6 linked regions of the Kluyveromyces lactis genome follow. The protein of the gene in region 4 purifies or fractionates together with the protein of the main gene of each other region. This does not show direct contact. Links are inferred from orthologs where the notes say so. Each region holds a gene or a part of one and is shown on either strand. Other genes may lie near its edges.

Region 1 (4,915 bases), on a different chromosome or scaffold from region 4:
CCAACCTATAGATACTCTCCAGGACTTAAACGAGCAAGAGCGGGGAGCTCTAGAAGGATGGGCTGCGCATTTCCAAAAGAAGTACCCATGCATAGGAAGTTTGGAAGCTGAACCCGGTGTAAACAATTAGAATATTTGTTCAGGCCTTGGTGAGATTAAGGACTATTTTTGTATTTATTTATGCTTCTGTTTTCTAGTGTACTACAAGTCCAGATAATTTATATGTCTGTATATGATGGATTAGGACATGGTCTCTGCAACTTCCTCAAAGAAGAAGCGCGAAACAGGTTCAGGCTGATTTCTACTCCTGAAACCATTTCTCGTCGTTCGCTGACTAGGATTCAAAGAAGGATAGTCACGTATTCTAAAAGTGTGCTCTTGTCCTATATTAATCAACTTCGGATCTTCTGTGTAACAGCACGGTATGTCGACAGTTTTCACGATTCCTTGTTCAGAATAATTGACCTTTAAATCTGCGTGTTTTGCTACTTCTTGCCTAACTGTGTGCCTCGAATTTTGATAAGGATCTCTCTCTACAGATGCGTTATTCACTATTCGTTTCATTGAGAATTTTCTACCGCTGATCCAAGATCTCAAATGTCCATTGGTTTCTAGAATTCTCACCTTTGGCGAATTCTCCTGACCTTTATTAAACGATACTAGAAGCAATGGTTTCATGTTACTCGATTTATGCGACATACCAGTAGGAAGATTAGCAATACGGTCTATTGGGATTGCAGATCTCTGATTTGTATTCCTTGAGCTCTTCTTCAACTTGTGTAGGTTCCATCGCCTTTTCAATCTTTTCAAAGTGACACAATTATGCACCTTATTAAATAACCTTCTAAATCGATTATATTTTGATTGGCGAGGTTCTGGTATCGATCTCATTTAATGTAGTTATATTGCCTTGGAATAGTGAGTTTTCAGCAAAACTGTAGTGAGCTTATAATCACAATTTGTAATTTGCTTAAGAGTTCATTGGCTAGTATAATGTTCTGAATGTTAGGCCCTTTTTTTATTGACGTACACTTTGTGACAAACAGGATATATGATAAAAAATAGTCACAGAGTCAAGTCACCTTGAATCCAACTGATATAAATAGATGGATATACTTAGTTTAATTTATTTGTGTGAGATGCAACTATATATTATACTGAATGAATTAAGATGTTCTTTTTTAAAGAAGCGCACATGATTAGCTCAATACTTTTAGATGAATGCCTCTCTGGGTAGATTGTTTGCACTGTTTCTAAATCCTTGGATAGCATTATCATAGTTCCAAAGACTTTGCTCGGCAAGCATATAAGTGTACTCAGCGTTAAGCTTTGTTTCAAGGTGTAACTTCTGAAGTAGTTCTAATTGTACAGGTGACAATTTTGCTTGCACTTCCGGTGAGAATTGCAAAGGTGTCGATCCAAGAACTCCCGGGATTTGGCCAGGAATGGATGATGTATTTGGCGGAGTTTGTGAGAGGGGCACGTTCATTTGTGGCTGATGTTGCACAGATTGAGCTTGGAGATGTGGTGGAGAAGGTGGTTTAGACCAAGCGCTATCACAGAATGGCCTTATCGTCAACGAATCAGATGCAATGATGACACTACCATTTGGACTTGGAACTAAGACCATTGTTCTATCGAAGGATTTCTGTGAAAGTTTGATGTTCGGCGTAGACGTAAATCCATGGTTGTATCTCCTTCCTCTAGAGGCAGATGATCCTTGTGATGTTTTGCTCTTGTCAATTTCAGGTTTGGCAGTTTCATCGAAATGGCCATGAAGAGTGATAACAAACCCTTGAACTTGTGGGAAGGTCCAGGCTTGCACAGAGTAAGCATCAGGTTGTTCTTGCAAAAAATGTTTTGTCATAGGGAGAGATCCGAACACTTCATAAATTGCTTCGGGCCCTATACGTAACCGTTCTTGGATGGTCTTGTCGCTAGATATCTTGGAAATGTTTCTTGAAAATGGTAAGTAATGACCGAATGTAGGAGTCGTTTGAGCATTAGGTACAGTAGCAGCTGGAACGGAAGAATCAACACTTAAGGAAAATTGAGACTGTGGAGTGTACAAACCCATCAATTGCATTCTATTCGAATCCCACAAGTTCAAGAAGTTGGTAATAAAATCTGTTGACGATGATGCCAATCCATTATCTTCGAAAAAGAACTGGGTTTGTTGTACCGGTAAGCTATAGATAGACAGTAGTTTCTGCTCGTCACGAACGACAACGTTATCTAGAATCACCAATTTGGGGAATATCCTTAACATTTCTGTACGATATAAACGATCCGATGTAATTGGATTATTCATCATCAGAAGCTCCCTCAACTCTTTGAATTTATTCTTCCAAACTTCAAGAGAATGGAATCGACTAATACTATTATTGGCGATGCATAGGTTTTTCAAATGAGGGAAAGTCTGTGCCAACGTGGTAACACCATTGACGTCTCTCAAATTATTATCAGATAGGTTGATCGATTCAACAACCATGCTAGGCTCCTTTGAAGCCACTTTCATCATAGCCGGGAACATCTTGGACTGCGTATTAACATTTTTCGGAGCCATACCGCGTTGCACCAACTCCGGATCATTGAACAAATTACCAAGATCCAACATCCTCGTTTGCACATTATATCTTCTCAAAAGCACATTACGAAGAACGGTTATCGTATCATTCGTATTAGGGTTTGTGTTCCCACCGGCTGCCTTGTGAATCTTCAATGAATTGCCTGCAAACCGGTACCCACTAAATTTCACCAATTGATCTGCCTCCTGCGGTGTCACATAACCAACTATAGTGTCCCCTTGAACCACAGAGTTTCTCACTGAGATCCTGGTCTTTCTCGAAATGAAATTCAACAAATCCTGTTGAGTAGCGTTAGTCCATCCACGAATGCTAACGCTGACTAAGTTATCCAATTGGTTTTGCTGTGCCAAAGCACCAATCTGATTCACGTTACCAAAACCACTAACTTGCATCACTCTAGTAACGCTATATCACAAGACTTTTCTCAACCAAATCGGTTAACCCGGTGAGCCTCATCTTTCAATCTCTATTCCCATCTCAATTACCAATGAGACTAGCACATTTTTTGATTATTTCTAGGTTTTTAGCATTTTTTTTTTTAATTTTATTCTTCAGTTTAGTAGAAAGAGATGATCGACCAAATCGAAACAGAAAATTCAAGGTCATGTGATATATTACGAGCACGTGACGTATAAATATCTTTTTTTTTTTTGGTCTTTCTCTTCTATTTGTTCTTCTAAGCTCTGCCGTATTGAATACGTATAGTGTTTCAAACAGAAGGAAAAAAACCCAAAGGTTTTTGGAAAATACAGACTGGCATATTAAAATCGAAATAAGTTAACTGTTAACTACTTTTCTAGATCAGAGGAATAATTGTTTGCAGTTTGAAGGCTTTTTTGTTTAATAGTACACTGTGGTTCACTTTTTTTGATTGCTGCCTGCTGTGTGTTTTATTGTAGCGGCTTAATTTATTGGCAGTCTTTTGGTTCTACAACAGACAAGCAGACGAACAGACAACGACGCCATGCCGCAGAATTATGATTACGATGAGGCAAGCACCACATGGCCATTTTTCGTACTCACGGTGTTATTTGTGGCTGTTACACCGGTAACATTGATTGAGCTGTATAGATTGATTGTTGGGGACTCCAGCGATAAGAGTTCTTCATCAGAATGGAGTCAATTGCACGAAAAATATACTTCAGAAGAAGTTCGGAAATATAGACTTGCTAATAAGAAGAAAAGGTCCAAGAAGGGAATTTACTTCATTACCGTTGGTTGGGTGCTCATTTCGATGTTGATTTATCATATTCGTTCCAACGATGCTATCTATCAGATTGCAGCAGCGGCTTTTGATCCATATGAGTTACTTGGTGTGACGCTTTCGTCTACCGATAAAGAGATCAAGTCTGCATACAGGAAATTATCTGTCAAATTCCATCCCGATAAGCTTTCCAAGGACCTAAATGAGATTGAAAGAACGGCTATGGAGGAACAGTTCGTGATGATTAACAAGGCTTATAAGGCTTTAACTGATGAAATTACGAAGGAAAATTATAGAAAGTATGGTCATCCAGATGGTCCTCAATCTACTTCTCACGGTATCGCTTTGCCCAAGTTCTTGGTGGAAGGAGGTACTTCCCCATTTGTTGTTTTTGCATATTTCATTCTACTTGCGTTTGTGTTACCCATGGTAGTTTCTAAATGGTGGAGCACTTCGCAAGAGTACACAAAACACGGTATTCATTCTGAAACAGCATCTCACTTCGTTGACAAAATGTTCAACTTCAAACCATCTTATGTTGTTGTGCCAGACTTAATCATTAAATGGATCTCTGAAGCAAAAGAATTCCAATTGAAATTCCCAGAATTGTCTTCCGTGGACATCGCTAACATTATCCATTCCCATGTTAACCGTGAAAAGACTGAAAACGAATATGCAAGGAACTATGTGCTTACCAAATCATCGTTACTTTTCCATCAATTGATAGAAATCGCATCCACTTTTAGGAACACTGAAGTTGCATTGATGGCGTTAGACACGTATAAGACAGTGGTACAGGCAACTCCGTTATCGCCACACTCTCAAATCTTTCAATTACCAAACGTGGATAAAGAGCATTTCTTGGATTCAACTACAGATGATATTTGTGCCTTGGGTAAATTATTCACATACCCAGATGATAAGATAGGTAAGATGCTAGGAATAAAAGATGAAACAGCACTCAATGAAACTTTGAAAGTAGCGTCTCGTATTCCTAAGTTGAAGCTCGTCAAGGGCTCCTTCAAAGTTCGTGGATCTTCTCTAAATACCGCAGAACCAGGTTCTACTCCTCACATTCAAGTTAAAGTGTTGGTTCGTTCTCCAAGACACAAACTTTTCCCAA
Region 2 (5,454 bases), on a different chromosome or scaffold from region 4:
ATAGAAACCAACAGGGCGCTGAAGATGAAAGTGCTGCGTCAGAAAGTTCAGAAGATAACCAGCAGCGGCAACAGGATCAATTACCTCCGCTTCCGGAAACTTTGGTACGGGTGAAAGTTGCAGATGACGTTGAATAACGTTTTTATTGAATATATACATATGGTGTATAAACAGGTTTTATACTATGTACAATTAATTGGTGTGGCACCTTCTTCTATTATTGAATTAGAAAGATGTGGGACTTGTCTCGATTGTGTTAGTTGCGTAATTGATGACACATTGGTTACCGGTTTCCTCGTTGATTTCTCCAATGATGGATTGTAACATCGTAACGTCCAAATTCGAATTAGCGAAAAGAGCAACCTCTCGTTTGACGTCGCTAGCTAATTTATTAAGATCGGTTAGTCCATGGTACATGCCATCCAGGTATGAGTCAGTGATCAATTTCTCATTGGCCAAGTTGTCGATGATTGGAAGTTCGATACTTTGATGGTAGAACTGCTGCTTGAAAAAGACCCTTAAAGTTTGTCTAACCGCATTTTCATCGGATAAGAGACACCTTCTCCAGATCTGGTACTCGCAGTACTTTTTTACTTCAGTGGGTAACGTGTGATCAATGGCAAGGATACTCAATGCAAATCCATAAGAAGTATCTTGATTTAATAGTGTGAATAATTCTATCATATGCGGCACTGAGAGAGATTCTCTCCTCTTCACAGCATCGCTCAAATATTTGAACAAAGTTCGATAGGTGGTAAAGTCTTTGAATAGTGGGTTGAGAGTTGATTCTTGTAGTTCTTGGGATAGAAGAATTTGCCCATCGATGAGATCTAATTCGGTTTGAATTTCGTTTAGCTTTTCAAGATCTTGAACTTCCGCGGCAAGAGCTGTTAATTTGGCAATACTCAATTGTGCCTGTCTTTGTTTCAAATCTTGACCCAGCGATTGAGTTCCAGTAGAAATACTCAACAAAGTTGTAGTTGCTTCGTCGTATTTATGGCAATATATGTTTCCAATCCATTTAACTTTGCCATACTCGGGACATTCTCCTAAGAACTGGTCCAAATATTCTGAATGGGTTTCACCAAACGATTCGTAAAGATCATCCCATAGCCCTTCCTTGATATAGTAGGAAAATAAGGATTTTGCAAAGTCGTATCCGTATTTCTGGAAGAATTCATCGTATAGAGAGAATGCGGTAATTTTTGGCAGAGATTGCAAAGTTTCAACTAAGCCTTCAAAGTCTTGGTAAAAATCTGTGATTAGAATTGAATCCTGAGACCTGTTAACATCCCTAAGGACCCTATTCCAAAGTAAATGATTTTCTTCGAAAAACTGTTTATAACTAGAATCAGTAATGGCATTTGCATCAATCCACATGGTTATTTGCCTGACCATATAAAATAGAGACTTAACCAATAGCAGTAATTCCTCTACAAATTCTGACACAACGGCAAGATCTTCAGAGGCATGCCTTAACAAGAAGAAGATGTCATTAAGATTTTCTATTATGCTATTTGTTGTGAACCAAGGGATATTTTTTGATACATCATCTGGGCTCATCTGGAAAAGTCCATACCTGTAGCTGTTTTCACATTCTTCTAATATGGAATGATAAACTAGTTGATTTATAAGCTTTGCGATCTGAGATTTTAACATAGTTTCATTTGTGGATTTCATTAGGTCTTTCAAATGCTTCAAAAAGGCGCCCAATAATTCTGGAATCTTAACAATGCCGTCTGAGATAAAATCAGAATCCGATTGATAGGAACTTTCTGATAGTACTGTCTTCCAAGCTTGTGAAATAGATGTTGGTTGTTGCGGTAGTAAAGAGTACAAGCTTTCCAAACATTTTATCATTTCAAAATCAGAAATCAAGTCCAGTTTGAATTGGGAAGATGTTTGATCCAAAAAATTATGAGCAACAAATGTGAGAAGTCTTTCAAAAAGTTCGCTTCTTATTTTTAAGTGTTTCATGGGGTTGTTAGCAACAGGCGGTATGTGGTTTGATAATGCATATTTAATCTCATCACTGGACATTTGAATATCTGTTTCAATTTCTTGTGGTTGTAGATCTAGATTGTCAGGTAAGTTGAAGTCTAGTAATGAATCCGTTGATTGTCCTCCAAAATAGACGTATTGATCCACATGAGACTTTATGAATCTAATTTCTTGGAAGTCAGAGTTTTCGTATTTTTCAAAAGTCTCCAACTTTAACGCACATGTTCTTCCATCAGTAATGTATAAGGAACTTGAATTACAATCGTACCCAAGAACTTTCATATCTTTGTTAAACCGTATAATGTCCTCCCATTTCCTTTTAAATGGATAATTAGAGTCCAATTTGGAACTTGTTTGAGTTAGGACAGCAGCATCAGAGAATAAAGTGTAAACAGACGTTATCGGTAAATGTTCCTTGGTGTATGCAGTTGGGACTATAAGTCTTGGGGCAAATTCATCTGATAATGGTCGCGTGTATGTGTTTAATCTGTAAGTAGAGAAGATAGCGAAACTGTTAGTATCTTCATCCACAATGATGGTTGATAGTAAATAGTGCGTTTCGTTACTTTCCGCTAAGAAACTCAAGAACAAGTATGCATCCGAGTCTCCTGATAAAGGATGACAATCGAGTAGTTTCAGTGTAGATGTTGCCAAGGGGAAATGCTCTAAGACTGCCTGTGAAATTTCAGACTGTACATTTAAATCGATCTTTTTGTAACAATTCCCAACAGATGAAAGGTTCCACACCTGATATCGCCCGCCCTGGGTTAAAATAGAAACTATTCTTTCTCCTTTACCGCTGATTTCGCCCAATTTGAGAGATACCACTCTCTTTGATTTGGACATGGATGAAAAGATTCCGACTTGACATTTTATTATGGTTTGTTTTAGCGATACAAAAGGTTTCCCGTTAGCATCTCTTATAGTACAAAACTCAACACGCCCGTAATTTGTCGAAAGTAATATTCCAGCTGGTTCTGCATTAATCAAATTCTCTACATATTCACCGTCACGTAGTTTTAAAACTGATTTATGACGTTTGGTTTGCGTCAAGAAACTTGCCACTTGACTCACAGTATCAACATCTTCATAGAATTGAATGTCACCGGATCTACTGTTCACTAAAAATAAGCCAGGGCTTGATTTCAAGTCACGTTCGAGCACACTAGGCCACGTAAAGCAACATAATGGAGGACGGGACCATGATTCATATTCCTCGTCATGTAATGGAATCCTTACAAAACTAGGGTGTGTTTCAGAAGATAAAAATGGCCAAACGTAAACATTATCAGTATCGCAGCATAAGGCGTACCCAGATTTTGCATCAACGCTACAACATAATTCCACATTACTGGGCAAAAAACTTAAACTTGGCGCTAACTTCGATACCTTATACTTCCCATTCTCTGTGATAACTTGTTCATTCGAAAATTGTACATTGGTGACAGCAGAACCAGTTGTCGTTTCCTCAGCAGAGATTACTGAATCCTCTGGTGCTGCTGCTGGTACACTAAGCTCTTTCCTGAGCTGAAACAATTGCTTCATCTTGTACTATCTTGACACTGAAAAAAAAAGCCAAAAGAATCACCAAATGTAAAACTTTGAAATTCTAATCTCAATTGATCCACTACCTTGTTAGCCGAACCTAGCTTGACCTTGCATTGCTGTAATTATAAAGGTAAATAGACTCTCTGATGCTCATTGTTTAAAATCTTGGTCAATGTTTCTGTTTTCATTGTCGCCAAAGAAATCGTCATAAGTGATGTCACGTGAAACATTTTCCGCCACGTGACTTTGGAATAGTTTCTTTTCACTTATCAAGTAACTTGGAAAATTAAATCTTTAAACTGGAACAAATCGATGCGATGAGCTAAATGCGATGAGCTAAGTTACAGTCTACATAGTTCATCTTTTGGCTCAGATTTCTATCCTATAAGGTGTAATTGTTGTGATTTGTATCAAGACACCGTAAACACCAGGATGATCAGAACAGTAAAGCCTAAGAATGCCCGTGCTAAAAGGGCTTTGGATAAAAAAGAAGCAAAATTGGTTGAGAATGTAAAGCAAGCTTTATTCATTCCTGGTCAAACTTCTACCAAGTTGTTGCATGATTCAATGGTTGATTTGAGTGCGTTGAAGAAGCCTGATATCAAGAGATTCTCCAAGAAGAACAACATCAGACCTTTTGAAGATTATGAACCATTAGAGTTTTTATCTGAAAAGAATGATACATCGCTTATGGTGTTGAGCACACATTCTAAGAAGAGAAGAAACAATTTGACTTTTATTCGTACGTTTGGGTATAAGATCTATGATATTATCGAGTTGCAGATTGCAGAAAACTATAAACTTTTGTCTGATTTCAGAAAACAAACTTTTAACGTTGGGTTAAAGCCAATGTTCAGTTTCCAAGGTGCAGCCTTTGAACAACATCCAGTTTACCAGCATATCAAATCATTGTTCCTTGACTTTTTCAGAGGTCAGAATACCACTTTGCAAGATGTTGCAGGTTTGCAACATATCATTTCTATCACTGTCCAAGGTGATTTCCAAGACGGTGAACCATTACCAAATGTTCTATTCAGAGTGTATCACTTGAAGACTTACAAGTCCGAACAAGGTGGTAAGAAGTTACCTAGAGTGGAATTGGAAGAGATTGGTCCAAGATTCGATTTCAAGATCGGAAGAATTCACACTCCATCTCCAGAAATGGTCAAGGAAGCCCATAAGAAACCTAGACAATTGGAAGTCAGAGTTGCTAAGAACGTTGAGATCGATACTATGGGTGATAAGATCGGTAGAGTGCATGTGGGTAAGCAAGATTTGGGTCAATTGCAAACTAGAAAGATGAAGGGTTTGAAGGCTAAATACGATCAAGTGGATTCGGATATGGAAGAGTACCTAGAAGAAGTTGAAGGCGATCTTGATCAAGAAAATGTCGATGACACTTACGGTGAAGAATTCGTAACGGCAACAGATATCGATGCTCCACCTGCTAAGAAGCAAAAGAAATAAATTCCATTGACAATAAAAACTGACTGTATAATATAATTCATATACATATCTAATCATATACATACACATTCGCATATATATGAGATAAAGGTGAAATAGAGTATAATTCTTTTTTTTTTTTTGATCGATCCACTGCCTTAATTCGTGGAGGCTGAACGGTTTTGCAATTTTTGTTTGTTCTCTACTAATCTGAGCATGTTTCTCAACAGCATGGAGATGGTTACTTTACCGGTGCTTGGAACGTATAGCGATGCTTTTGATTTCACAGACTCATCGAAATTCTTCTCTGAGGAAAAATTGATACAGATAGCGCCTTCTTTAATGTAATCAGTAGGGAACTTGTATTTTTCACCAGGAACACCTGTTATTATCACGTCAGCATCTTTACAGCATTCCTTCAATAGCTCCTCTGAATATGCACCCAAGTCTTCTACATGA
Region 3 (4,126 bases), on a different chromosome or scaffold from region 4:
TGAAGAATTTCACCGGTTTCACAGAATTTGTCATTCTTGGTTCAGTTTTCTTTGAGATGATACCCAATACCAACCAATTGGGATAATCAGGTTCAGAGAACTTAGGGGCTCTCACCTTACTGAAGAGCTTTGGAAGTCGAAGCACTTTTATGTTTTTAGTATGTTTCCTAAGTACGGCCAACGGTACATACCTTCTGTCTATAACCAGACCACTCAAATCATCTTTTTCATCAACAGTAATTGGTTCATATTCATCGAACATGTCGCCATTGAATGTGTAAACTCGATGTGCCAATAATTCTTTCTTCCTTTTAATCGCTTCATGTTCATTTGTATTGATGGAGCGAAGTTTTTCAGTAAAGTAAGAAGTGGTACCCAACTTTTTGACCTTTTCCCTTACATAATCCTCATTAACATTAAATGTAGCTTCCTCTATATCTGCTACTGGCGCAATATGTTTGATATCCTCTATTCCTTTTGTAGCATTATCTGATTTCTTAGGAGACTCTGGAACGTCGATAGAATCGAAATTAGGGTCTTTGAGGTTTCTCTTCTTCTCTAGTTCCAACAGCCGGTTAGTTAAATCTCGTTTCTCAGTGTCAATTTCAACAATTCTTCGTTTCACTTTGATTTAATGATTGGTTATAATATGTTAGTAGGATATTCTAATGTCATTGATCTCGGTAACCATTATTATTAGAACATACCTCTTTCGATTTCAGATTCATCATCAGATAATTCCTCGTACGGGTCGAACGCCGTAATTTCTCTCGGGTCAGTTAGATCATATGACATGATGCATCTTCACTGTTACCTATACTCGATAGCTTCTGTAACTATTCTCGTTCATTCTTTACTTGTGGGATGTCATTATTTTGTTTTCTCGTTTGAATATCTGTGGAAAGTAATACTAGTATTTTTTACATGTTGAAAACGAATGGTCAAATAATGATACATAATAGAAAAAAATTAAATAGAACTTCGGTAATATTAACAGCCATAAAATCGTCTGGAGAATCAGGCTTCCTGACCATCCTCAGTATCACTTTCAGGCTCTTTGTGACGTTTCTCAGGCTGTTCTGTTGCGGTGTCGTCTATGGGTCTCTTATTAGGAGAAATTTCTGACGTTGAGAAGGGACTAGTGAATGTTGAATGAGAGCCAAATACAGGGGCCTGGAATGCTGCACTCATATTAGAAGTGTCATTCTCTACAGGTTTAATTGTGGACTTTTGTTGTTCTAAATTCCTGATCTTGCTTTCCAAAAATTTCAATTTCAAGGAAACTTGCTGTTTCCCTTCTTCGAAAGATTTTTGTTTTATTTCTGCCAAATCTGCTTCAAATTGCTTACGCATGGAATCCTTAAGTGCATTCAATTCTGCACGATGCTTTTCTAGAGTAATGGCATCATTTCCGATCTCTCCTGCCAATTTTTGGGCCTTTTCGTTTACCTTTTCTTCAAAGGACTCTTCTAAAACAGCTTTTCTTGCCTCAACTATTTTATCAATCTTTTGTTGAGTAGGTAACCTGATCCGTTTCTTGAGGGCTTCTTCTGCTAATTTAATTTTTTCCAGAGTCTGCTTCTCATATTCTTTTTCCCATTCATTCTTCAAAGCATCGATGTCTATATCCAAGGTAGGCTGCGAAGGAGACTGGACAGTAGTCTTTTCGCACTCTTCACGAATTCTCTTTTCTCTTTCTTCAAACTGTTTCCGGAGCTCTTCCTCTCTGGAATTCCAAGCAGATTCTTTTTCTGCCTCAAACTTGCTCCTCAATTCTTTTTCTTTATCTTTTATTAATTGTTCTTTTTCAGCTTCAAATTCTGTTTTCAAATTATCCACTATTGACTTCGTGTCTTCGTTGATAACTGGCGTATGATGTTCAGCTACTATTTTTTGAGCGTTGGAGGCTTCGGCTTCAAGCTCCTGTATTTTACTATTTAACATTTCCACAGTCTCAGTCAACGATTTTATTTTTTCATCTGAATCTGCATTATTCTGTTCGGTCTTGGAAGCATTTTCCATTTGAACCTGAATAGAATGTAGATCTTCCTGCAATTTAGATAATTGAGAGTTAAAAGTCTGTTCCTTTGTTTCTGCTTCTTGCGTTACCACTTGTAATCTTTCTTCTAACTCTTTGCAAGCGGTCTTACATTTTCCTAAATCGGCCTCCACTTGAGATTTAGCTTCATTGATTTGGTTTATTTCTGATGATAAAGATTGTTCCTTTTCCTTGGAGGCATTCAATCTATCACGTGCTTGAAGCCTAATTCTTTGGAACTTCGATTCCCAGTCATCTTTCTCGGCAATGACGCTTTGCAAAGTATCCTTGGTAGTTTGCAGTTCATTTTTAACATCGTTAATTTCCTCCTTTAGTTTACCATGTTCTTCAGGATCAATACGTTCATATTTATGTAAGATATCTTGAGAACGGCTTTTCCACCGTTCTGCTTCTTCTTTCGATTGAATGAGTTCCTGTTCTTTAATTTTGATACCATTTTGCAAAGAGGAAATGGACGACTGTAGTGGCGCCAGCCTATCATTACATTCTTGCAATTGCGACTTTAGATTGTCACATTCTTTCTTGAATGAACTATTTTCAGATCTTAGTGTAACGTTACTTTCTCTTAACAAGTGCAGTTGGTCAAGTTCTTTCATTATATTTTCTTGCTGCTCTAGCAAATGAGCGCTTTCACTGGAACTATTCTTAACTTGAGATAATTGAGTATTCAAATCTTCAATTTCTGATTTTGCTATATCAAGGCGTTGTTTTAGAACCGTTTGCTCGCTCAATGCAACTTCTAGTTTAGTTTCTAGCATGTCTCTTTCACGGCGCAAGCTGATTAACAAGTCACTTGAATCATGAGAGTTGTCACGATCTTCAGTCTTGTTTAGCAATTCAATTTGGTCGTACAGGAGCTTATTTTGGGTTGATAGTTCTTGGACTCGTTGCTCCAAAACGGACAGTTTATCTTCGTACTCAGTCTTCTGTTCATTCCATAATTTTTCGCTATTCTTCAAGTTCTCCATAGCCAGTTGGGATTGGGTTTTAAGTGTCTCTAGATCAGATTTATAGCTTTGCGCCTCAGTTCTTAGGGACGTAATAGTTTTAGAGACATCTGCATGCTTTTGCAATTCAAGTTCGTAGCTCCGTTGACTCTCATTTGCATATTGCGTTTGCATTTCTAGATCTTTCTGAATCATTGCAATTTTTTCTTCGTAGTCAGCCTTAGTTCGATCCACAGATTCTTTCACCATCTGAAGCTTACTGATTTCTTCCATTGTTGCGTTCCTCTCAGTTTGGTATTCTGATTTTTGATGGAAAATTTCGTTATTCAGGTCTTTCACCTGATCGTTGAGAATATTGACAGTACTCTGTAATTGATTTCTTTCGTTTTCTAGAGTGATTATTGTCTTCTGAGATTCCTTCTGGGCCTCTTCAAAGGCCTGGCTTACTTCATTAACGGATTGCACGGACTGTTCCGCCAGAGTTTTATGATGCTCTATTTGTGAATATGAATCAGAAAGTTGCAAGTTAACCTTTTCCAATTCCTGTCTCAAAGTCTCAACTAGGTTTTGAGCATCATCGACATTACTTAACATCGTATATGATTGTGCCCGTGCCTCGGCCTCCTTGAGTTTTGCGGATTGTTCATTGATAGTGGATTGCATTTTCTGAAGTTGAGCTTCTTTTTCTTCTAAGGTCGTTTTCTGTTGAGCTGCCTCACTAGTTAACTTATCAATCTTTTCTTGAAACCAATTATATTGATGCTCTTTATTGCTAGCAATTCCTGTGGTGTTTTTTTCAATTTCTTCAAGGCGTTCGAGTGAACCAGACAACTCAATTTCCAATTTTCTAAGCTTTTCCTTATAAGAATTCTGAGTTTCCTTGAGTAACATTTCTCTCTCACGTTGGAGTGTCTGAAGTTGCGCAATTAACACCTTGTATTCGACACTTTCTTTGGAAAATCTTTCGTTCTCTGCCTTCAGTTCCTTTTGAACCTTTGCCATAAACTGTTTTTCAGACTTCAAGATGGATAGTTCCGATTGTATAGATGACAAAGTGGATTTCGTTTTGATTAAGGAATCTACAGTCTCCTGTGTACGTTTGTCCTGTTTTGTTAAAATA
Region 4 (5,476 bases):
TTATGTGCTTGGTACAAAGTATTTGAACTGTGTCCTAAAGGATGAAATCCTTTCAAAGGAGGTCCTTCAATGGCTGAAGTTTTCCAATGAATCATTAGTAGAGACTGTTTGCAATGATGCTATTATGGGGCAAGGTGCTAATAGAGTAACAGGAATATTGTTTTTGGATGCTTTAAACCAATTAGCAAGTTTGAACAAAGTAAATTTTGTTTTGGAATCACTTGTCAAAAGTAATATGTTATTATTGATTATAAGATCTATCAAAAACACAGATGAGGTATTAGAGACTCAAAATGAGAAGGTGACCTCTTACACATTATTGTATGAACTCACAATTTTCAAATGTGTGGTACACTTCCTGACAAAATTGGCTCAAACAAAGGCTGGTTCTCATGCTTTAGTTCAAAAGAAATTGTTTGAAACTATTACGTCGTGTAACTTCTTGAAAATGGATCCAGATCTTGGACTAGAATTGATGTTTGAATCTGTTGGTGCTGCAACCTCCGGAAAAATCCGTGCGAATCTAACTTTAGATAACCCTCTCCAGATTACATCATACGAAAATGGTATTTCGCTCTTTGAAATCATTATACCCATCTTCCAGTTGATTGCGTCAGTGTTACTCAGCTCAGGAACATCAAGCCAATACGTTTTCCGTGAGGCAAGAAAATTGATATCTCATTTCAAGCAATTGGTACAAGGCGCATTAAAGAGAGATGCATTACTTGAAAAGAATGGAGTTGAAACCAAACCAGAAGGACTTGAAGAATTTGTTCAACTCATCATTTTGGTTTGTACACTGACAAATTATTCTGGAGCGCAATAACGATCAGGGCAATATGGTTACATGATTATTAGATTGAACCAGCAAAGTACATAGGTTTCAATATATAGATTATCATAGTATTAACCTCAAGGTCAAAAAAAAAAATCATTTCTGAGACTTCGTCAACGTCTTGAGTTTTCCTTCAAGTTGCTGAGAGTTGTTCTCTAGCGACTTAAGAGCATCTAGGTGAGAATTTAATAACTGGATCAACTGAGCGTTTTCTTCCTTATTAGGGAAGCTTGAGTTTGTAGCCTTATTGAACGTTTCGCTAACTTCGTTTATTTCGGTAATCAACGAGGAAAGATTTAGTGACAAAGAGTTTAGGTTGTCGTCAAGCATTTCCACTGTATGATAGGCTTGTTGTCTCTTTTGATCATTCGTTTTGCTTGTGTTGTTATTGTTGCTCGAAGAAAGCACCTCAGATAGCAGATCTTCAGCCTTTTGTTCATAAGAATCGAGGAAATACTCAAGTTCAGATTGTTGTCTTTCGATATATGAGAGAGACTGATCTACTCTATTTTGAGATTGTTCAGCAGTTAATGTATCAGAGTACAACCGACTTATTTGTTCACCACCTTGCATTAATACTTTGTCCCACTGATTTATCTTCTTGGCGTAACTCTCAAAGTGATCTGCGGTTCCAGAAAGTTGGGAGGTCCATTTTGATACTAAGTCATCCAAAGTCTTATTGTCGAGGGAAACAGGTTCGATAGTAACGGGTTTAGTAGATGTCTTTGTTCCAGTTGTAGTTTCCTGCTTAGCACTTTCAGTTGTTTCTTTGGTAGTATCCGGTTTCAGACCGCCCAAAGAAAAGGAAGGAGCTTCAGTTTTCGTGTCTTTGGAAGCGGTAGTTTCCGCAGGTTTACTTCCAAAGCTAAAAGCAGGCTTTGAATCAACCTTAGTGTCAGATGTTCTGCTATCGGCAGGTTTACTTCCAAAGCTAAATGCAGGCTTCGAATCGTCCTTAGTATCAGATGATTTGCTATCGGTAGGTTTCGCTCCTAACGAGAATGCGGGGCTAGGATCGGCTTTATTTTCTGAGGTGTTGGACCCTAAAGCAAAAGATGGTTTTGATTCTGACTTTGACCCGTCAGTCTTGTTATCGAACGAAAAGGCCGCTTTGGAAGCTGACTTGGTATCTTCAGTCTTATTGCCAAAAGAAAACCCAGGCTTGGATTCGGTATCGTCAGCATTCGTGTTCAAGGATCCCAGAGAAAATCCCATTTTAGAGGCAGGTTTAGATTCTTCTGTTTTAGATCCCAGAGAAAATCCACTTTTGGTCTCCTCTTTACTGTTGCCAGATTTAACATTGAATGCAAAACCCTGTTTACTTTCTGGTTTGTCATTGGAAGGTTTAGAGGGTTCAGGAGCCACTGGTTTTGATCCAAAGCTGAAGGCTGGCTTACCGGCTTGTTCTGTCCCAGAGGGCTTTGCTCCGAAAGAAAATGCTGGTTTAGCATCTGTAGGCTTGTCCTCCGTTTTTGAACCAAATGAGAATCCTGTCTTTGCGCCTGAGGTTTTTTCTTCAGGTTTTGATCCCAGACTTAGCGAAAAACTTGGCTTGTTGGCATCTCCAGCGGCAGAACCAAAGTTGAACCCTGAAGTAGCACCGGCTGGTTTTGTATCAGTGTGGTTCCCACCAAAGAGTGATGTGGCATTTGTATTAGGTTTCGAGGTTTCAGTTGGTTTAGCGGAAGTTGTGAAGCTTGATGTTGAAGTTGTATTGGCACCAAATATTGGTTTAGAGGCATTGACACTCGGAGTTGTAGTCATTGCATTATTTCCAGATAGTCCGAAATTAAAAGCGGGCTTTGCATCGGTCTTTTGTTCAGGTTGTGTACCAAATGAGAATCCACTCTTGGGTTGAGTGTCTTTAGCCTGTTGCGACCCGCCAAATAGCGAAGAGCTACTTCCTGCTGCTCCTACGGAGCCAAAGCCACCAAATGTTGGTTTTGCTGCGCTTGTATTCGTGGTGTTGCTGTTGTTATTGTTCGCATTGCTGGCAGCATCGTTTGCGTTAAAACCTCCAAAAGCAGGTTTTGGTGCATCGCCTGTACCAGCAGTTGTATTAGAGGCACCAAACGAAAATGGCGAAGCTGCTGGCTTGACTGCATTAGCGCCCTGTTGTGTATTCATACCAAAGCCTCCGAATGCAGGTTTTGTTTGTCCATTGTCATTGGTAGTGGTCGCTCCAAACGCTGAAAATGCATTTCCCTGCTGCGTATTAGAGCTACCAGCAGCTGAACCGAAACTTGCAAAAGCATTGCCACTGGTCTGGCCTCCAGTATTGCCAAAGAGAGAGGAAGCACCTGTGCTGGTACTGGTGTTTCCTGTGGTAGATACATTTTGTCCTGATCCAGTACCGGCAAACAAATTGGAATTGCTGTTCCCACCGGAAGCATTTCCCGCTGTAGAAAAGTTGAAAGTGGGGTTTGAATTGAAACTCATTTTGTTGATTAACGAACCCTTGTAATTGTCCACTTCATAGACTAGCTATGCCTATTCAAACCAATTCGTTTGCCATTATGTATACAATTTTCAGTTTATTGTTTAATCATATCGAGTTTTATGATCTTTTCGATTTTAGAAAGAAACAAGGTCCAAAAAATTTGAGTGAGGGTAACCTTGATATGATGCATATACGGATGGACATATAAAGCTTGACTAGCCAGAGTAAGCTCTGTTTTAAAGTTTATTTCCTAATATTATAATGAATGTATAGTAAGATTTATATAATGTACAGAATTCAATCGGAGTAAACCGAGCTTGATGGCTTTTATGTCTTTCGATTCTCTCCTCCAATATCAATAACGGTTAACAATGGAATAGAGTTTTCCTAGGAACTATAAATCACATTACCAACTTTCTGGGTAATTTGATCCAAGAGTAAGGCATCATATTTGTGTTTTTGATCATCTCGTATATCTCAATGCATTAGGTTAAAGTTCCTTTTGAAAAAAAAAGAAAGAGAGGTGAAAGTAGGGGCAGACGTATCCCCTCGAATTAGTTTGTGGTTTTCATGTCTACAATTCTCCACGTTTCTTAGACGGAATGTAATTTGTATTCTCTTTGGGGGCTATGTGCATTGGGTGCTGCTATGTTGAGCCTGGCGAATTATTTGATTTCGCAAGCGTGGTCTTTCTTGAATGTGCTAGAGTGTCTAAAACTTCGTCAAACGCGCGGTCCATTTGTTCTTCTTGCTGTACTTCTTCCTCGCTACTATAATCGCTATCAGAATACCCATCACCTTTCTTCTCCTGCAGATTGGCTTCAACTCCTACGACCGTATTAGAACTTTGGTCGACAGAGGAACTAGAAGCAGTTGGTTTTTTGTCATCTGATTTCTTCTTGAAAATTTCGTCAATGGGAATTCCTTGATTGTTCAATTCATCAAGGAGTGACATAATATTAGATATATCTTGTTTCAAAAGGGCGTCTTTGATATATGTTCACTATCAAATCTTTCGCCAACCCTTCTCAAAATATCTGTGTTAAGCTCTTGGCCACGTTTGTTAGCGGTACTTTGTAGTTCATTCATTAATCCTCTACTTTTCCTCAAAACATCACCTTCTTCTTTCAACTGTTCTTTGGCTTCGTTCTGCACTTCACCGCTCGTGTATGTTAGTGCCACCTCGTCATCTGCAGGTTCATATGATTCTACAGATGGTTGATGGAAGGGTAACAAAGCGCTGTGGCCACTGGAAGCATATTTCGATGAAGAAAGTAAGGTGTTTAGTTTCTTCGGATAAGTTAAAGCTGTCGCAGATTGTGAAGTTAATGGTGATGGGCTTTCACGGTCATTTGACGTGGCTGCATTATGGGAATGGTAACCTGCGCTTCGCAAACTCTTCTTTGCTAGTAATTTCAAGCCCTTTTCAAAACTTGCGTCAATAAAGCAAAATTTAATAAGAGTTTCTTTACCCTCCGTACTTAGCTCTCCATTGAGTCTCAATTTGAATAGTTCTTCAATTGCAGCATGAAGTTTCGCACGTACAGTTTGAATACGTTCCAAGAAGTTTGACACTAATGTATCATAATCACTCCTGGTTGAAGAATCTTCTGTTAGTAACCTTCCAAGCTCTTCTTGTAGTGACTTCAATTTTTCATGTCCATCATCGCCACCAGATTTATTAATTTGTTCGAGCTCTCTCTGTGTATTTCTCATACTATAGACAGAGATTTTTTCTTTGATTCTATCAGGGACATGGGCGTAGTCAATATCCATTGTGATTATAGTCTTGGAATTTTTTACAGCAGCAGCCAATGCACTGGCAGATATTATATTCAAATTGGTTCCCAATAGAGAAATATAATTTATGCGTTGACACATCGGCAAAACTTCGGCAAACTGCATTACTGCCGTTGTGGATAGGTTGTTGTTATCTAAGTGCAAACGAAGCAAAGACACAAACACTGGTAAAATAGCTGTCAACGTACGCATACCGTATGGGAATAATCCTGGGTTATTGGATAAATCTAAAAATTTCAAACTATCACAATAGCAAAGACCATTGAGCAAACTCAAAACCTCGTTATCCTCAGATTTTGCACCTTTAGGAACCGAAAGATTTGTAGAGTTAAGAGATAGGAATTTGAACACATTTTTTCCTTTCTTCGTCTTCTCTATTACGGCAGATATGAACGGTCCTA
Region 5 (5,454 bases), on a different chromosome or scaffold from region 4:
TAGCTTCGTATTCTCTCAAAGAGATGGTGAAACCGTACTTCTTATCGTTATCCTTCATGAATTTGAAAATGTCGTAATCGATATCACAGTAGATCTTAACACCTGGTTCAACACGCCAGTAGAACTCGTATTCATCCATCAATTTGTGTCTATAGAAGAATCCTGATTCATAACGACACATATGTCTGTATGATTCCGAATGACCATAGATAATCTTCTTGGCTTTCATATCAGCTCTGACTTGAGCAGCCTTTTCCTGGTCGATCCAGCTTGGATAGGACCAGTGTTCGACAGGGATTAGGCCAAACTTGACGTTACCACTAATCATAGAAGCAACTGTATTCTTGAAGTCATCTGTGAACTCTTCATCGTTCAAAAACACCCAATCGTATTGGAACTTCTTGTTGAATCTATCTTCAACAGACCTAATAGATGACAATAATTCTGTCAAATCACCGTTACGTGCCAAAGTCACAAAAGTTGCCTTAACCTTGGAGCCAGTGTACTTACCGGAATCGACGGTGGTGTACTTCAACCCTGTGTTTGGGTCTACAACAACACGGGAATCACCCTTCATGCGAACGGTCTCGTACTGATTTGCATTCTGCGAAGATGACACACCAGTGCTGTATCCACCATTGTATGAAGCACCTTGGAACAACAAATAGATGGTAATTGCAGCAACGATAATTATCCCAAGGAGACGCGCAGAACGCTCCTTATTGATTCTGGTCTCGCTCATGGCTTATTGAAAGATTACTGAACAGCTTTCTCCCAACCTATTTCCAATTGAAATAAAGAAAAATAGCGGATTTGTTAAGAAGAAATCAACAACGACCAATGTGGTTTCAGGATATTCACGTCAAACGATCAAATAACTTAGTAAAGCACCTAAGGAAACAAAAAACGATACCGAGTTGTTAAAGGTAAAATGCCTTCGTTTGTAATTTTTCAGTTTTCTTCAATTGAACAGTGGATATACGCTATTCTAATATCACATTTTTCTCGAGGCAACCCAGATTCGATCAGGGAATATTGAAAACTACAAAAAAAAAAAAAAAACTATATGATACCATTAGCAGAGCTCAGCCATAAAAATAGCACATTTATGACATTTATGACATTTATCGATCTCCCACTTCATGACTCGTAGTCGAAGGCATCGTGCGATGTTCCACTGCCCATTTTCTTCTAGTGTAATGATTCTTTTCTTTTCGGATTTAGACTTATGTGTTCGTTTCAGTCTTCTGTCCCTTCAAGGTGTTTTTTGGGATTTTCCTTGACCGATATGGCCTCTTCGTTTCGGAATCAAGCGGTCTGTTCTGTGGTGTCGAAGCCTCATAACCACATTCGGTGTTGCACTTTTTACTTGATTTCCTCCATGACGCGTTCTTCAAGGTTTCCCCAAACTAAAAAAAAAAAAACAAGATGGGACGAATGTATGACAGGATGGGGAGAAATCGGTCACGTGATAATCTGAATTTCACAAGAATAGAACACTTGTACTGTTAAGCATGGCATTGATGCACACTACGTTCTATCCTGTGCGTTCTTGCAGTTTAACGTTAAGTTTTTCTTTACTTATATATCAATTTGTTCTTTTCGATCCCTCATGTCACTTTCAGGCCTTATGTATAGAAAAATGAACAAAACTTGAGTTCTATATAAAACTTGAAAGCTAAAATAACGAAAAAGGGTACTTTTGTATTAAGTGGACGGCAAATCTTTAAACTTTCATAATGTAGAATCGTTATAATAAATTTTGGATAATAGTCGAGCCCCATATTGATGTTTTGGAACTAATGCAAATTTATGTCCATCTCCTAGCTAGACTCTCTTATACTGACGCCTTGGTTAGTTTAGGTCAATATGTGTCAAACCGTACAAAGTGATTATAACCCTGTAAGAGGAAAAAAATAACAGCTAGGAATGTTAGGACTTGAAATATCGAATTATCAAATATCGAATAATACCTTTATTAATACGCAAGAAAGTTACAGAAACAGCAGTTTCGAAAGAAATAGGAATCGAAAACTTGAATTGGACTCTGGTTCACTTGCCGCATATCACGGCCACTTTATAGAATAATGTCGGCATCATATCTGGAAAAACCCAAAAGATCGATTTCATCGACTTTGGCATCATTATTTACCAAGCATGACGATACGAATAGCGAAGATCCGAATATAACAAGGTCGCACAATGAAGATATCAGTGATTCAGGATCAGTGGTCATCAAGAGGCAAAAACGTGGCTTCGACGGTTACGAGGAATTGGTTTGGAATAACGAAAAAATCACCGATCACCCGTTAAATCACAATGGCATTGATGATATCAATTATGATGAAAGACCGAATATTTTCTTGTATGAAGGGGATTCTGAACATGGTGTAAGGCCTCCAGTACTAACGATAGAACCGAAACAAAGATTGCGGCTACTAAGGATGCAGCAACTGCGCCGTGCTCGGCAATTCCCACTTTTACAAAGACAATTACAATCAGCAGAGAACGGCCTATATCGCTTAACAGACGGCAAAAATGCTACTATAAAGAATTTACTCGTCAACAAACTACAAAGTGACAAGAAAAATCATAGGGTTTCCGATAACCCAAAGTCCAAGAAGTGGAAAGCTGATTTTCAATACGATTTATCAGAATATGATATCTTGAAAAACGACAAAAAGACGAAACCAGTATCTGCCTCAATGGGGAATTTGGAATCTCCTAAACTACCACATCCATTGCTAAAAAGGAGTACCTCTTCAAAGAAACATGTCAATACTTTTGATCAAACAGGAGTGCCTAGTGGATCTGGCTTAACTGATGTTCAAAGCAGGTTATTACAAGGAAAGACATTGCAAAAAAATCCAAAGATAGCACAAGAAGTAGTTGCACCAACACTATCATTGAAACCTATCGTCAAGGAAAAAATATCAGAAGATAAAGTTTTAAACGCTAACGGCCCAAGTGTTGGATTTGACTTTATGAATAGAGACAGTACTTCTATTTTCCCAGGTAGCACAGATACACCTACCAAACCAACAGTATCCAAAAATATATCTTTTGGAAATACCAAATTGGATTTATTCAACAATGATAAACAGAAATTAACGGCCCCTTCTCAGGATTCTGAAGAGTTACCAAGAAAAAAGAAAGAATTTAGTTCTACTGAGGACACTGTTAAACCATTTCCCTTCACAAGTTCTAAGTCGCTGGAAACATCAACTGAACCATCGAAACCTGCTTTTTCTTTTGATGCGGTAAAAAAAAACAACACAGCTACAGCCAATGGAGGCACAAAAATCTCAGATGGTGCTCCTTCTTTCACCTTTGGTGATTTATCAAAAACCAAGAAAGAGACCAAAAAAGCTGAAACATCCAAAAACCCCTTTGAGAAATCCGCCCCCGAACCTGTTGAAAATCTGGCTAAAGACGGCCTCCCTAAGTTCAGCTTCACTGGTGCGGATACAACTGGGATATCAAATATACCTACATTTAGTTTTGGAAAATCTTCAGAAGGCAAAGAGATAGCTAAACCCGCCCCTTCATTCAGTTTTGGCAGCCAAAAAGATGCAGGCGAACCAACTAATGTCAGTGAAATGTCAAAACCTATGTTTAGCTTCAACAAAGGAAAATCATCTACTCCAGATCTGACCCCATTGAGTACCTCTCAATCAACTAATACACCTAAACCACTATTTCAGTTTGGTTCCAGTGGTAGTACTGAACCTGCCGCAAAGAGACCAGATGGTACAAAAACTGAAGCACCAGTGCTGCCATCATTCAGCTTTGGTGGTAAACCTGTAGGAAATGATTCGTCAAAAAATATTGAGAAGGAAAAAGCTAAACCTTTCAGTTTTGGGCAAGCTTCGAATACATCAGCATTTTCTCTCAACCAACAGCCTTCAGCAGACAACGCGACAGAGAAGCAGGAAGCCAAAAATGCCGTCAGTACTGCTGTAAAACCTGCATTCTCCTTTGGTAGCACCCCAGCAGCCCTACCTTCTGATACAACCCCAAAAGAAGCTGCTGCACCATCATTTTCGTTCGGGACCACAAAGAAACCTGTTCAAGGTGATATGAGTTCGAAACCTGCATTCTCTTTTGGAAGTTCCTCTGCCATCCAGCAGCCCTCAATTGAAAAAGCTTCCAATGCAATTCCTTCGTTTGCAAGTCAGAACACCAGTGGCCAGCCTGTCAGCGGACTCAAATTTGATTTGACAGGGTTTAAAAATAATAATAGACAAACTACTCCGACTCCGTTTTCAGATTCATCAAATGTTGGATCTGCTCGTGGAAGCAACCCTCCTGTCCCATTCTCATTTGATAATGTCGTTCAACCTGGGAATAAGATAAGTGTAACGCAGCCTACTCAAACTACATTTACTTTTGCACAACAAAATCAAAAACCATTTACTTTTACTGGAAGTGGGCCAAGCACTACCAACAGTTCACCTGCATTTGGAACCAGTTCCAATCAGCCTAATGTACCTTTTTCATTCGGCGGAAGCTCAGCTTCTTCCACTCCCCAGGTACCAGCATTGGGTACCGGTTTCGGTAATTCTATGCAGACAAACACATTTAATCCTTCAGCCGCTGCCAATTTTAATTTTGGTGGTCAACCATCTCAAAGTCCTTCTGTAGTATTTGGATCCCAAACCCCGCAACAGAATCCATCGTCCATATTTTCCGCTGGTCAGCAGAATCCAGCGGACATATTCAATGCGCAGGCTTCAACTCCTCAAGGAGGGGCACCATTTCCACCGCAGCGCAAAATTGCTATGCCCGGTAGGAGAAGAAGAAGAGGCTAATAAAGGAAAACAAAGGCTTTGCATCTCAATTGTAACAATTATTGCATGATATCATTCCTTCCGACATCTTTACATTTATGTGTAAGAATGTATCTACTAATGTCATCTTAAAGTTTAGGTAAAAAATTTTGTTTCGAGAGAGTACTCGAATGGAGCTTCGTTAACGGATGAGATGCTCGTAAAATCTTTAAGTGGAACTACATCAACTTATAAATCAAGTCTAACATACTCAATAGCAAGAAATTGAGTGATTTCGCTTGTGGTATCCAAATTGAACCGGCTATTACTTGAAACATAGGCATTTCTGGAAAGTATTGATCAAATTTAGTTACATTGAAACTGCTATGCGTAGCGCAGTTCATGACAGCTTTGCAGGAATTCAATTGAATTATGAGTCACGTGAATATTCGTTTCGCCTAGTCAACTTCATAATACCGTAATGTTGTGAAAATCAACAAAAGCGCATTCTTTAAATATGTAACATGAAAGTGTCAATCACTAAATTAATATCTTCCAGTAAAGTAAAAAACTCCATAACCATGGACATTTCAGAACAAATACTGCCACGCCTTACCCACTTACAAAAATGTGTTCACTCGAAACCTTATAATGTACTTCACGTCCCTTCATTCCTCTTAGGGTG
Region 6 (3,927 bases), on a different chromosome or scaffold from region 4:
TCTGTTCCATTTTCTTTTGTGGTCCGTCGTCAGTATTGAAGATTATGAATTTCAATTCACCAGATGAGGTATCATCTTCTTCCATCTTTTGGCGATTGATGATAAGGTTTTTGAAAGACTTTTTGTCTGGATTAAAGAGGAGTTCTCCGGTAGTTAAAATAGCCTCATCAGTAGATGCAGTGAAAATTGAAGAATCCATAGGCTTTCTTGTTAGAGCAGTCGAACTAGTGTCTTCCTCCTTGGGTTTTGATAGTTTTAGATGAATTTTAACCTTTCTGGAGTTCGGTTCCGACTTTTTAGAGTCAAACAAGGGTTTTGGAAGCAGCTTGTATGCTGCGGAGAGGGAGTTCTTTTTCTTCAAGTCTGCAGAAACCATTGTGGCACTAGGCTTAGTTGGTTGAGTAATGGAATTAGGAATAGAGATAACACGGGAGAATAGCTCATCCGTACCATATGGATTGGAGTTCGCTTGTGCTGCTTGCTGCTGGTTTTGCATTTGTTGGTTTTGTTGCAAGGAAGATGAAGAGAATAAACCACCTGTATTTGCATTACCAGAAGTGTTGTTTTGTGATCCAAATAATCCTGTCGAACCAGTATTTGCTGGCTTATTCGCAGAAAATAAACTTCCGCCACCAATTGATGAGGCATTGTTCGTGTTTGTTGCGCCAAAAGGTGCAGTTCCGGCAGGTTTTCCACCGAATAATCCACCTCCAGTGGTACTACTCAAACCACCTGTTGGTTTAGTGCCGAAAAGGCCACCAGATGTTGACGCACTATCAGCTGGTTTGGCACCAAATAGACCACCAGTAGCCGTATTCTGCTGTTGTGTGTTGCCTCCGAATAACCCGCCGTTGGTAGCTCCTAAAGCGTTAGTGCCGGAAGGTTTGGCACCAAAGAGACTACCCGATGATTGACCTTGTTGCTGGTTGTTTTGACCAAATAGACCCCCCGTTGCTGTGTTGTTCTGGTTGTTATTTTGACCAAACAATCCGCTAGATGTATTCTGCTGCTGACTACTTTGGCCAAATAATCCACCAGTAGTTCCTGTTGGTTTTGCACCAAACAATCCTCCGGTGTTGTTTGCCATACTGTTGTTCTGCTGACCAAATAAACCACCGGTGTTAGGTTGCTGTGTTTGTTGGTTCTGATTACCAAATAACCCCCCCGTTGCAGACGGTTGATTACTTTGTCCGAACAATCCGCCAGATTGTTGTTGCTGATTATTTTGACCAAACAGCGCGGAACTACCACCCATTACAGTTTTATTTTGAGCTCCGAATAACCCAGTTGAACCTTGTTGACTTTGGTTGTTTGATCCAAACAGGCCACCGGTAGTTGGCTTCGCACCAAATAATCCTCCGCCCTGTTGATTCATGGAGTTGCTATTTTGTTGTCCGAAAGGACCGCCAGTGCTAGCTGCGTTACTTTGTTGTCCGAATAATCCTGTACTGTTTGTGTTAGATGGTTGTTGCTGTCCAAATAAACCTCCGCCAGTATTGGTGTTGTTTTGTCCAAACAATCCACCCGCCTGAGTATTGTTTACCTGACCGAATGGAGTAGAATTAGCAGCATTTTGTTGACCGAAAGGAGAGGGTCCGTTCTGTGCTTGCTGACCGAATAAACCGCCACCTGTAGTTCCACCTGGTTTTGATCCAAATAATCCACCTGAGGTGTTATTATTCTGACCAAATGCGTTATTGGCGTTACTTTGTTGACCAAAAAGTCCACCAGTATTGGCCGCTGTGGTGTTATTTTGTCCAAACAAACCACCCGGTTGATTGTTGGTGTTTGTTTGGCCGAAAGTGCTCCCAAAGGTGTTTGAACCAGTATTTTGACCAAATGCGTTACCTGGGTTTTGCTGTTGGTTTTGTTGACCAAATAATGAGTTGTTGGCTTGACCAAATGCGGAATTATTATTGGTGGTGTTTTGTCCAAACAGACCTCCAGAGGTAGCCGGTTTGTTTAAACCGAATGGAGAAGAACTTGAAGCAGTATTTTGCCCGAATGGAGAATTATTCTGCTGTTGTCCAAACATGCCAGTTTGCTGTTGCTGCTGTGGTTGGCCAAAGGGAGTGTTATTAGGTTGTGAAAATGCATTTACAGGCTGTTGCTGGCCAAAAGGTGAATTTGCAGGCTGTTGACCAAAGGGAGTTGCGCCACCTGCACTGATGGTATTTTTATTTCCTAAACCAAAAGTGTTGTTAGTACCATTTGTCTGTTGTTGACCGAATGGCGAAGCAATAGCAGAAGCTGTCGGACCTCCAGCAGTGGTGCTAAATTTCCTATTTTGTTGATAATCTTGGAACCTCAACTCTTCAAACGAATAAAGGCTATATTCAGGCATACAAGTAATAGATTGAAACACCGATGGATATCCAGTTGACACATCCTTTTCCGTATAAGGTTGGAATGGCTTGATTCCAGTGCCAGAAGGAGGTCCAGAAGAGAGAACGCCTGTCGCTGTACCACTAGATTGGCTACCACCAAACAGGGATGGTGGGTTCGACAATGAATTACCTGCTGCTGCTCCTGCTGCTGCCCCGCCAAACGGAGAAGTAGTTGTATTTTGCTGTTGTGACATACCGAATGGGGAATTTATAGTTTGCGTAGGGTTTGTATTAGCGCCGCCGGTACCAAACCCACCAAACCCTGATTGCGCGTTGTTGGCAGAGCTGGATCCAAACAGATTGTTTGTGGTTCCACTATGCTGTTGACCGAACGCATTGGTTGTTGACTGAGTTTGTTGGCCAAAAGGAGAAGTACTCGTCTGTCCAAATGCCGGTCGAGAAGCACCAAACATCAGTGGGTCAGGAAATCAAGTGAGGTGACAATTGATGAAAAAGCTGACTAGGAATAAAATAATATGTCCTTCAATGACACAAGTAATCTCTAAGTAGATAATACCAAAGTCGTAGCGTTTTGGTTCAATGGTATTTTTCTGAGAAATAATTTAAAGATGAGTGAGTGTCCTTGTTCTCTGATTGTGAAAGAAGAAACACACTAATCAATTAACGATCTATAAAAAAATTTCCCACTTTACGCACTGTATGAATACTTTTATTGGTCTCAGTTGCTGATAGTATGACTGAAAGACAAATACGACAAATCATATAAGCCGAAACATTGCTTGCATCAACTTAGAAAACGTTAGTTCTTTATCATCAATTAGTTGTTTACTTCAAGGATAAAGAAATTTTCAGAGGTGAGGGATGACCTAAAATCGTATTAAGTGACATAGCGTACGTAGTGATACGTAGTTTTGGGGGATTGTGATGTAGCAGTAATTACTTGAGCACAAGGGAACAGCTGCTAATGCAATTCTGAGTTGGCTCCCTGTTTGAAACACTTAATTCCAATATGTTATATATAATGAATTCCGTCTGTTAAATTACCCAAAAAGTATATATGTTCTATATAGTCGAAAGAAATGAAAATAAAATGAGAGATAAAGCCAGGCAGTAAAGGCATTAAAAGATGCATCTCTCTGGTATGCAAATCTTCGGTAGACACAATAAAGTAGATGTGAAACCCCCTTATTGGCTTTAATACCATAGCGTCATAGGCTCTCTAGGCCATTCATTACCTCATTCATAAGTAGATAATTCTTCAAATTCCTGGGCTTTAACGACCCTGTCGTTAAATCCACGATCAAATCTTCCTCTTCATCAGAATCACAATAGTCTTGCTCTAGGTCTGGAGTCGATCTGGGAACTGAATTTAAACTTTTGAAGCATTGTACTATCACCTGGGAAACCTGCTGCGTATCTTTGGCTTTTCCAAAATTGTCTGTGAACATTGTTGAATATTGTCAAACGGGGACGCTAATGGGTATATTGTAGTAGGCGCTTGTTAAGCCTATTCGGAGGTCGGTATCCTGTGTTACTCCTTATTATGAGACGTCTTTCTTACACTTTTTAACTTATCAAT

What was found.
Region 1: the proteins of NSP1 (region 4) and MEX67 purify together in Saccharomyces cerevisiae (affinity purification with mass spectrometry; 3 studies listed by BioGRID, with this or other methods). This does not show direct contact. The link is inferred for Kluyveromyces lactis from reciprocal best matches to the Saccharomyces cerevisiae genes NSP1 and MEX67.
Region 2: the proteins of NSP1 (region 4) and NUP133 purify together in Saccharomyces cerevisiae (affinity purification with mass spectrometry; 3 studies listed by BioGRID). This does not show direct contact. The link is inferred for Kluyveromyces lactis from reciprocal best matches to the Saccharomyces cerevisiae genes NSP1 and NUP133.
Region 3: the proteins of NSP1 (region 4) and MLP2 purify together in Saccharomyces cerevisiae (affinity purification with mass spectrometry; 3 studies listed by BioGRID). This does not show direct contact. The link is inferred for Kluyveromyces lactis from reciprocal best matches to the Saccharomyces cerevisiae genes NSP1 and MLP1.
Region 5: the proteins of NSP1 (region 4) and NUP1 purify together in Saccharomyces cerevisiae (affinity purification with mass spectrometry; 3 studies listed by BioGRID, with this or other methods). This does not show direct contact. The link is inferred for Kluyveromyces lactis from reciprocal best matches to the Saccharomyces cerevisiae genes NSP1 and NUP1.
Region 6: the proteins of NSP1 (region 4) and NUP116 purify together in Saccharomyces cerevisiae (affinity purification with mass spectrometry; 7 studies listed by BioGRID, with this or other methods). This does not show direct contact. The link is inferred for Kluyveromyces lactis from reciprocal best matches to the Saccharomyces cerevisiae genes NSP1 and NUP116.

Annotation. Positions count from the first base shown.
Region 1 is NC_006039.1:845,089-850,003, forward strand, and holds MEX67 (Mex67p), read right to left. Parts: upstream 2,981-4,915; coding exon 1,214-2,980; downstream 1-1,213. Other genes in the region: DAP1 (Dap1p), read left to right, coding at 1-130; OSW1 (Osw1p), read right to left, coding at 241-891; protein-transporting protein SEC63, read left to right, coding at 3,553-4,915. UniProt on the Saccharomyces cerevisiae protein: Involved in the export of mRNA from the nucleus to the cytoplasm.
Region 2 is NC_006037.1:702,308-707,761, forward strand, and holds NUP133 (Nup133p), read right to left. Parts: upstream 3,547-5,454; coding exon 226-3,546; downstream 1-225. Other genes in the region: DAD2 (Dad2p), read left to right, coding at 1-137; rRNA-binding ribosome biosynthesis protein RPF2, read left to right, coding at 3,982-5,016; MTD1 (methylenetetrahydrofolate dehydrogenase (NAD(+))), read right to left, coding at 5,154-5,454. UniProt on the Saccharomyces cerevisiae protein: Functions as a component of the nuclear pore complex (NPC).
Region 3 is NC_006037.1:52,287-56,412, forward strand, and holds the end of MLP2 (Mlp2p), read right to left. Parts: coding exon 1,018-4,126; downstream 1-1,017. Other genes in the region: MCM10 (Mcm10p), read right to left, coding at 1-624, 708-795. UniProt on the Saccharomyces cerevisiae protein: Together with the closely related MLP2, involved in the structural and functional organization of perinuclear chromatin. Together with MLP2, associates with the nuclear pore complex and form filamentous structures along the nuclear periphery.
Region 4 is NC_006041.1:1,040,341-1,045,816, forward strand, and holds NSP1 (FG-nucleoporin NSP1), read right to left. Parts: upstream 3,275-5,476; coding exon 932-3,274; downstream 1-931. Other genes in the region: NUP192 (Nup192p), read left to right, coding at 1-826; MHP1 (Mhp1p), read right to left, coding at 4,251-5,476.
Region 5 is NC_006039.1:1,147,624-1,153,077, forward strand, and holds NUP1 (FG-nucleoporin NUP1), read left to right. Parts: upstream 1-2,087; coding exon 2,088-4,811; downstream 4,812-5,454. Other genes in the region: alpha-1,2-mannosyltransferase KTR1, read right to left, coding at 1-742; KLLA0_C13497g (uncharacterized protein), read left to right, coding at 5,294-5,454. UniProt on the Saccharomyces cerevisiae protein: Functions as a component of the nuclear pore complex (NPC).
Region 6 is NC_006042.1:2,466,120-2,470,046, reverse strand, and holds the start of NUP116 (FG-nucleoporin NUP116), read right to left. Parts: upstream 2,801-3,927; coding exon 1-2,800. Other genes in the region: KLLA0_F26686g (uncharacterized protein), read right to left, coding at 3,557-3,796. UniProt on the Saccharomyces cerevisiae protein: Functions as a component of the nuclear pore complex (NPC).